Linked DNA regions of Macaca mulatta. The protein of the gene in region 2 purifies or fractionates together with the protein of the main gene of each other region. This does not show direct contact. Links are inferred from orthologs where the notes say so. Each region holds a gene or a part of one and is shown on either strand. Other genes may lie near its edges. The genes, in order: SMARCA1 and CECR2.

Region 1 (3,821 bases), on a different chromosome or scaffold from region 2:
GTCTGAATTTATCTAACTCTTATATTTATGTTAATGAACTCTTCTGTAAGTTTTCTGGGTTATTAATTATGCATCCTTCATTAGCAATCAACTATTCTTTACTCTGTGGTTGGAAAGCGACTTTGAATAAATAAATAGTCTATTTTTTCCTTTATCTAGAATGATGTATATGTCTTTTGATCTTTTAAGATTTTTTAGTGAAACAAAGTTTTATTGCCTGTATATGGTACATGTTCCCTGACCTTTTACAATGTATTGAGAAATTAGAATACATATCAACTTTTAATAGTTAATATATATTAACTATTTCACATATATGTGTGTGTGTTTATATATTTTTCCCAAATTCTGCTTACTTTGGGGAGAAAGTTTATATGCTACTAGCATAAAATACAGTTTTCTAGATCCCTGTGAGTGAAGAGAGGACTGTTTGTTACATTACTATACCATGACATTGAAAATATTTTGAGACAAGATGATACTGTATTTTAAGATTTAAGTTATTTCTGGATACAACTTGAAAATTCTTAAGAGTTCAGTTTATGGTATATATATATAATAGTTAATTTATATTTCAATATTTGGGATATGTTACATATTTGATGCTTAATTTTGTTACTATTTTATTTAATAAAATAATGTTTTGGAAAGAGATTTGCTTTATGATTATGACTCTTTAAGAAGGATATTTGTTACTGGGGAATTTACTGTCTGTCAGATCATTTTTCTTCCCTTCAAACTATTTGAAAATACATTTTCAAATTCTGCTATTTATTAGCTGTGCAAGGTTGGGCAAATTACTTACCCTCTCTGTGCTTCAGTAGCATGTAGTTACAGTGGAGATGATACCTGTAACTACGTCATAGGTTTCTTAAGATAATTGAGTGGATTAGTATGTTTAAAGTGCTAAGAGTGTTGTACAAAGTAAATGCAATGCAAGTATTCGTTAAATGACTTTGAAGGAATGAAAAGCAAAGTCCTTACTTTTCTTTTGTTTTGCAAATTAGAAAGCCGACCGAGCAAAGAGATTTGAATTTTTACTGAAGCAGACAGAACTTTTTGCACATTTCATTCAGCCTTCAGCACAGAAATCTCCAACATCTCCACTGAACATGAAATTGGGACGTCCTCGAATAAAGAAAGATGAAAAGCAGAGCTTAATTTCTGCTGGAGAGTATGTTGGCACCTCTCTCTCTATTTTCTTTCCTTTCTCCTGCCTTTTCTTCCTCCTGTCCTCCCTGATCCCTTCATGCACCCCTTCCCTCTTTATTGTTCAGTATACCTTCATGTGACAAAAAATAAGGGTATTGCCATTATAATTATGTTTTGAAGACACCTATATTTTTTTCTCACTAGAGGCTGATCAGTAAAAATGTAGGCTGGTTCTACCGATTTCTAAGCAATACCTTGGACAACTCATTCTTTTTCTGTAAAAGATAATAGCCATGTACACTGATTTAATTGATACCTTAGCATTTGGGTCGAATATGAAGGGATTTCCTTTTTTAATTTCAGCTACCGCCACAGGCGCACAGAGCAAGAAGAAGATGAAGAGCTACTGTCGGAGAGTCGGAAAACATCTAATGTGTGTATTAGATTTGAGGTATCACCTTCATGTAAGTACTTCATCACATTGGTGAGTTCTTTTTCAATTTAGTTTTAGAAAAATTTTACTTGAGTATATTAATGAAAGTATGAAACGTCCTTGCATTTTTTCCCCAGATGTGAAAGGGGGGCCACTGAGAGATTATCAGATTCGAGGACTGAATTGGTTGATATCTTTATATGAAAATGGAGTCAATGGCATTTTGGCTGATGAAATGGTAAGGAATCGGTAGCTAAAACCACATTCTCAGTTATCAATGATTTTTATGTAAATTTGAAAAACCTGAGCTTACCTGCCCCCGCTCCCCGATGCCTGGAGGCTTTTTTAAAGTTGTTACCATGTAAAAGGTATTTTGTAGCCTTAGAATTATTATTATTTTTTTGAGAGAGGGTTTCTCTGTGTTGTCCAGGCTTGAGTGCAGTGGTGCAATCTCGGCTCACTGCATCCTCGACTTCCTGGGTTCAAGCGCTCCTCCTGCCTCAGCCTCCTGAGAAGCTGCGACTCCAGGCACGTGCCCACCACACTGGGCTAATTTTTATTTTTATTTTTAGTAGAGACAGGTCTCGCCATGTCAACCAGACTGATTTTGAACTCCTGGGCTCAAGCAGTCCTCCCACCTCGACTTCCCAAAGTGTTAGGATTACAGGTGTGAGCCACAGCACCTGGCTAGAATTGTTTTGTTAAGTAACCGCTAGAACACAGACTTTCACAGGCCATAAAACTCTGCTTTCCTCAAGTGGTCCAAAAACCTTCCCTGTACTTTTGTTTTTGTTTGCAGTTTGGCTTCCAGGAAGCACAGAGTGAAGATGGATGCCCAAATGATGCCTTTATGTAACTTTTTAAAAAAAATTTTTTTGAGATGGAGTCTTGCTCTGTCACCCAGACTAGAGTGCAGTGGCACGATCTCAGCTCACTGCAGCCTCCACCTCCCGGGTTCAAGCAGTTCTCTGTCTCAGCCTCCTGAGTAGCTGGGATTACAGGCACCTGCCACCACATCCGGCTAACTTTTTTTGTATTTTTAGTAGAGATGGGGTTTCACCATTTTGGCCAGGCTGGTCTTGAACTCCTGACCTCGTGATCCACCCGCCTCGGCCTCCCAAAGTGCTGGGATTACAGGTGTGAACCACCCCCACCCTGACTTTATGTAACCTTTAATGGTCTGCCCCATGTGTCCTTCTGTCTTTTCCTATTCTTTATCTACTTGTCTTTCTTACTTTCCTTGTCGTCTCTTTATTTCTATTTTGCCATCAATTTATGTTCCATGTTTTGATTGTAGGCTACCTGAAATCCTTTTGGGAATAAGGCGGGGTATACAAACCAAGCAATACATAAATGACTGACTGAATATATGCATGTGTGAATGAATATCAATATTTTGACTTGTGAACAATCAAAAAGTGCATAGGTGGAATAAGGAACGAATAAAGAGTAATGCTGAATCTTGATACAGTACAGTGCATGGTGGGGCTTTGGAAATCAGTGAAGGAGTTATAAATGTGTAATAAAATAACCGAACAGGAAAAAGTAAGGCACGTAAGATGCTAATTCATCAGCTAAAAGGGGAATATATGAAGGCCTATATTTGTATTTGAAGACCAAATTAATAAAATGGGATTTAAGAGAGGGCAGGGAAAGTTCTAAATCCATATAACTCAATAATATTCGTATTTATGTGACTCTGAAACCATACTTGTGACCACTATTATCCAGAAGAGCCACATGATGATATGTGCCCTATGGCGTCTAGTATAGTTAGTAGTCAGTTGCATAAGTACTCATCCCTGGTTGAGCAACTGTTGGGTGTGTGGCAGAGGATCCCTTAAAGCAAGGGTCTGTAGCTCCTTATATTTAGGTATTCTGATTTGAAGACTATTGTCAGTTCAGAGGGGGAGGAGCTTGGTAAGTTGGACAATGGAAGGACCAGGATTATTTGCCCCAAGCAGCTCTTGGCTGCAGCCTGTCTAAACATGAAGGATCTGGTCTTTAGTGATGTATTTATGCTACCAGATATATATAATATATGATATATAAAATATATAAAAAATATATATCTAGTATCAGCATAAATATATATTATACATAACATATTTATATAATATATAATATATAAATATACATATCATATATACTTAGATATAATATTTAAGTATATATGATATGTATATTTATATGTATATATATTTTTTGAGATGGAGTTTTGCTCTTGTTGCCCAGG
Region 2 (3,821 bases):
AGCCGAGATGGTGCCATTGCACTCCAGCCTGGGCAATGAGAGCAAAACTCTGTCTCAAAAAAACAAGAAAAAGAAAGAAAAGAAAATAGTCTGTGTGCTGGCTTCTCCTCCCTTCCATCTTTGTGCCTTGCTGTCTGGCAGTCACATTTTTCTCCTTGCCTCTTTTCTTTGGCCCCTACCTCCTTGTTCCCTGCAAGTGGTAAGTGCTCCATCAGGCTGGGAGTGGAATGCCAAGTGTGCTGCTCATGGCTGTGGCTGGGAGCCAGGGAAAAAATCATCCCTGCCTTCCAGCTCCTTGCCAGTCCCAGCTGGCATCTTTCCCCTCTTCTCAGCCAAACTCCCACTGGTGGCAGGGCCTGCTGCTTGCTGTAGGCGTGGGGTGGGGAGCAGACCATTGCTTGCGTGGATGCCTTCATAAACACAGAACGTGAAGAGCTGGGGCGTGCATTTAAAATCCTGTGTGTGTGTGTGGACTGAGAGTCTGGTCCTAAAAAAGGATTTGCGGATGTTGCTTTTTTTAAGTAAAAGATCAGAATGGCCTCAAGTAATCCAAGAAGATAGTCCTCATTCAACCTTGTACTTTTTCCTTTTTCTTCAACTGCCATTGTGTTTTCTTCTGCCTTGCTCCCTTCCCTCCTGCCCACCCTGTGCCTGCCCTGTCACCTTCGTTCCCCACCTCAAGCTCAGTGTGAGTGAGGAAACAGGTTCAATTAGTTAGTTTACCCATGTCTGAAAGCATTCCATCTGTGGAAACATCCTGATTACCCAAGAGAGGGTGGCACAGGGAGCAGAAGTTGCTTCATAATCCTGCTTTGGTGGCCTGGTGTCTTCCTTCTCTCACAATGATGAAGGAACACGCCACGTCAGCGTCTGGAGCGTGCGCAGCTCGCTCAGCCTTTGTGTTCGTTGTAGATCGAGCGAAGAGGAGAAAGCTCAGGGAAGAAAGGGCATGGCTGCTGGCTCAAGGGAAGGAGCTCCCTCCAGAACTTTCCCATCTGGACCCCAATTCCCCCATGAGAGAGGAAAAAAAGACTAAAGACCTGTGAGTATTTAATAACAACAGCAACAGTAGCAACTGGTAGCATTTACGAAGCACTCAGGCACTTTCCCCGTGTCATCCTTAGAACAGCCCTGGTGGGTAACATTGTCACCATGTGCCAGTGCATGGGGCGGGCCCTGCACTCACAGCTGACCCCGGTGCCCTTCCTCAGGCACACACAGACATACCTGGCTACCCCGGCCTCTGACACTCTTGCTGCCACACTCTGTGGGAGCAGAAGTAAGACTTATGCTAAGCTCTTCTTTCCTCATCCCCTTAATTTAATGAAATCAGAATCTGATTATTATGTAAATGAGCTCCTTGGAAATGTGAATAGCAGTTTATCTGTTTGAGGTTATTACTTCCCGTGAGGTTACTAGGTACCATGTGACTTTACTGCTCACTGAAAATTCAAAAGGCAGGTACACATTCAGTGTTCTTGAGCTCATTCATCGTATGCTTTTTTGAATTAAAAGTAAAATAAAACCTGGTTAAGAATGTGCTATAGGCAGGGCTCACGCCTATAATCCCAGCACTTTGGGAAGGTGAGGCAGGCAGATCACCTGAAGTCAGGAGTTCGAGAGCAGCCCGGCCAATATGGTGAAACCCTGTCTCTAATAAAAATTTTGTTTGAAATTAGCCGGGCGTGGTGGCACATGCCTGTAATCCCAGCTGCTCAGGAGGCTGAGGGAGGAGAATCGCTTGAACCTAGGAGGCGGAGGTTGCAGTGAGCCGAAATCGTGCCACTGCACTCCAGCCTGGGTGACAGAGTCAGACTCTGTCTAAAAGAAGAAAAAAAAAAGATTGTGCTATAAAGCCTGGGCAACATGGTGAAACCTCACCTCTACCAAAAATACAAAAATTCCCCAGGCATGATAGCACACACCTGTAGTCCCAGCTATTCAGGAGGCTAAGATGAGAGGATTGCTGGAGCCCAGGAAATCGAGGCTGCCGTCAGCTGTGATCACGCCACTTCACTCCAGCCTAGGCGACAGAGCAAGATCCTGTCTCAAAATAAGTGAAGAAATAAAGAATGTGCAATTAAATAACCAACATTCTAGAACCATAAAGTTCTGGATCATCTAGCAACCCCCCATTTTATAGATGAGGGAAGTGAAATTCCCGGTTTTGCTAAGGTCCACTGTCCCTCATTTTGTATTTCTAGGAGCGTTATCAGTATCACAGGCTCATCTAAACCACACTATTAGGACTATTCCAAATCTTACTTCAGTCAGGTGTGTCTGCGATAGACCTGAGAGGGCTCAGGAGAGAAGGTGGTCAGAGTTACTATTAATTTCTTATTTTATGATTTACAGCTTTGAGTTGGACGATGATTTCACTGCTATGTATAAAGGTTAGTTCCCATTCTCCACTGTTCCGTTTGTGATGGACATTTTCCTCTGTGCGTGTGTTAATTAAGATCTCTTCTCTGGCTCTCAGTTCTAGACGTGGTAAAGGCTCACAAGGATTCCTGGCCCTTTTTGGAACCTGTGGATGAATCTTATGCCCCTAACTATTATCAGATTATTAAGGTAGAAGTTGTGTTTGCAGTAATGCCTACTATAGTCTGTGTATCTTTCTTGGGTTTTGTCATTTGTTTCTTGTTTCATGTATATATTTTTGATGTATTTTTCTTTTCAACTGTTGAAAGTTCATGTCATGTTTCTCGTTTTATCTGTTATTCGTTACAGAGCAGCATTGCTGAATCCTCATTCTCTCTCCGTCTCTCTCTCTATGAAACGTTTTGCTCTCAGCATACTTTAACTATAAAGAGTTATGTGTCTCATTTAGGCCCCCATGGATATTTCCAGCATGGAGAAGAAACTGAATGGAGGTTTATACTGTACCAAGGAGGAATTTGTAAATGACATGAAGACCATGTTCAGGAATTGTCGAAAGTATAATGGGGAAAGTAGTGGTAAGCGGGGAAGGAGTTTGCACTAGATACATATCTGTAATCAAGAATAAAATGCCTTCTCTTTTATAAATACACGCCCTAGTGACTTTTCTGTAGGACAGTGAGCAGAATGTGTATGAAAAATCATGGGATTGACCATTCTAGCCGCTTACCACAGTATCTGCCAGGGACTCTCCTGGCCCGCAGGACAAGAGAGTGCAGCTGGCGCCTAACTGGCTCATCCTGGAGACCAGTCTGGTTCTGGCTAATACTGTGTGTGCCTCTTTAACCACTAGATAGAGCTGACTCTTCAACCATCTGGAGAAGCTGGCGTAGTAGATCTGTAATATCAAAGTAGAAATGGCTCCTCCTACTTTGGGTCATTTATGCATTAACTCAAAATGCCCTGCTTAAAAACAGCAGATTCAGCCATTTTTTATTTAGTATTTCTGCAGTTTAGCCTTAAAGAATTAAATTTTTACTGGCTTTTTTTTTTTTTTTTTTTTTTTTACTTACTTTGAGACAGGATTTCGCTCTGTCACCCAAGCTGCAGTGCAGTAGCGCAGACATGGCTCACTGCAGCCTCAAATTCTTGGGCTCAAGGGATCCTCCTCCCTCAGTCCCAAGTGGCTGGGACTATGGGCAAGCACCACCACACCTGGCTAATGTTTTCTTTTTGGTAGGGACGGACATCTCGCATTCTTGCCCGGTCTGGTCTTGGAACTCCTGGGCTCAAGTGATCCTCCTGCCTTGGCCTCCCAAAATGCTGGAATCACAGGCATAAGTTACTGTGCTCAGCCTGGTTTGATTTAATAGTCCTAGAGGCCCTGTCCCAACCATACAGCCTTGGGCATCTTAGGATAGAAACCATGTCTTCTTCATCTT

The links.
Region 1: the proteins of CECR2 (region 2) and SMARCA1 purify together in Homo sapiens (affinity purification with mass spectrometry; 3 studies listed by BioGRID and IntAct, with this or other methods). This does not show direct contact. The link is inferred for Macaca mulatta from reciprocal best matches to the Homo sapiens genes CECR2 and SMARCA1.

What each region holds. Positions count from the first base shown.
Region 1 is NC_133426.1:135,974,963-135,978,783, reverse strand, and holds part of SMARCA1 (SWI/SNF-related matrix-associated actin-dependent regulator of chromatin subfamily A member 1), read left to right. Parts: intron 1-1,007; coding exon 1,008-1,174; intron 1,175-1,515; coding exon 1,516-1,616; intron 1,617-1,722; coding exon 1,723-1,823; intron 1,824-3,821.
Region 2 is NC_133415.1:34,541,139-34,544,959, reverse strand, and holds part of CECR2 (chromatin remodeling regulator CECR2), read left to right. Parts: intron 1-912; coding exon 913-1,042; intron 1,043-2,355; coding exon 2,356-2,393; intron 2,394-2,479; coding exon 2,480-2,571; intron 2,572-2,830; coding exon 2,831-2,957; intron 2,958-3,821. UniProt on the Homo sapiens protein: Regulatory subunit of the ATP-dependent CERF-1 and CERF-5 ISWI chromatin remodeling complexes, which form ordered nucleosome arrays on chromatin and facilitate access to DNA during DNA-templated processes such as DNA replication, transcription, and repair.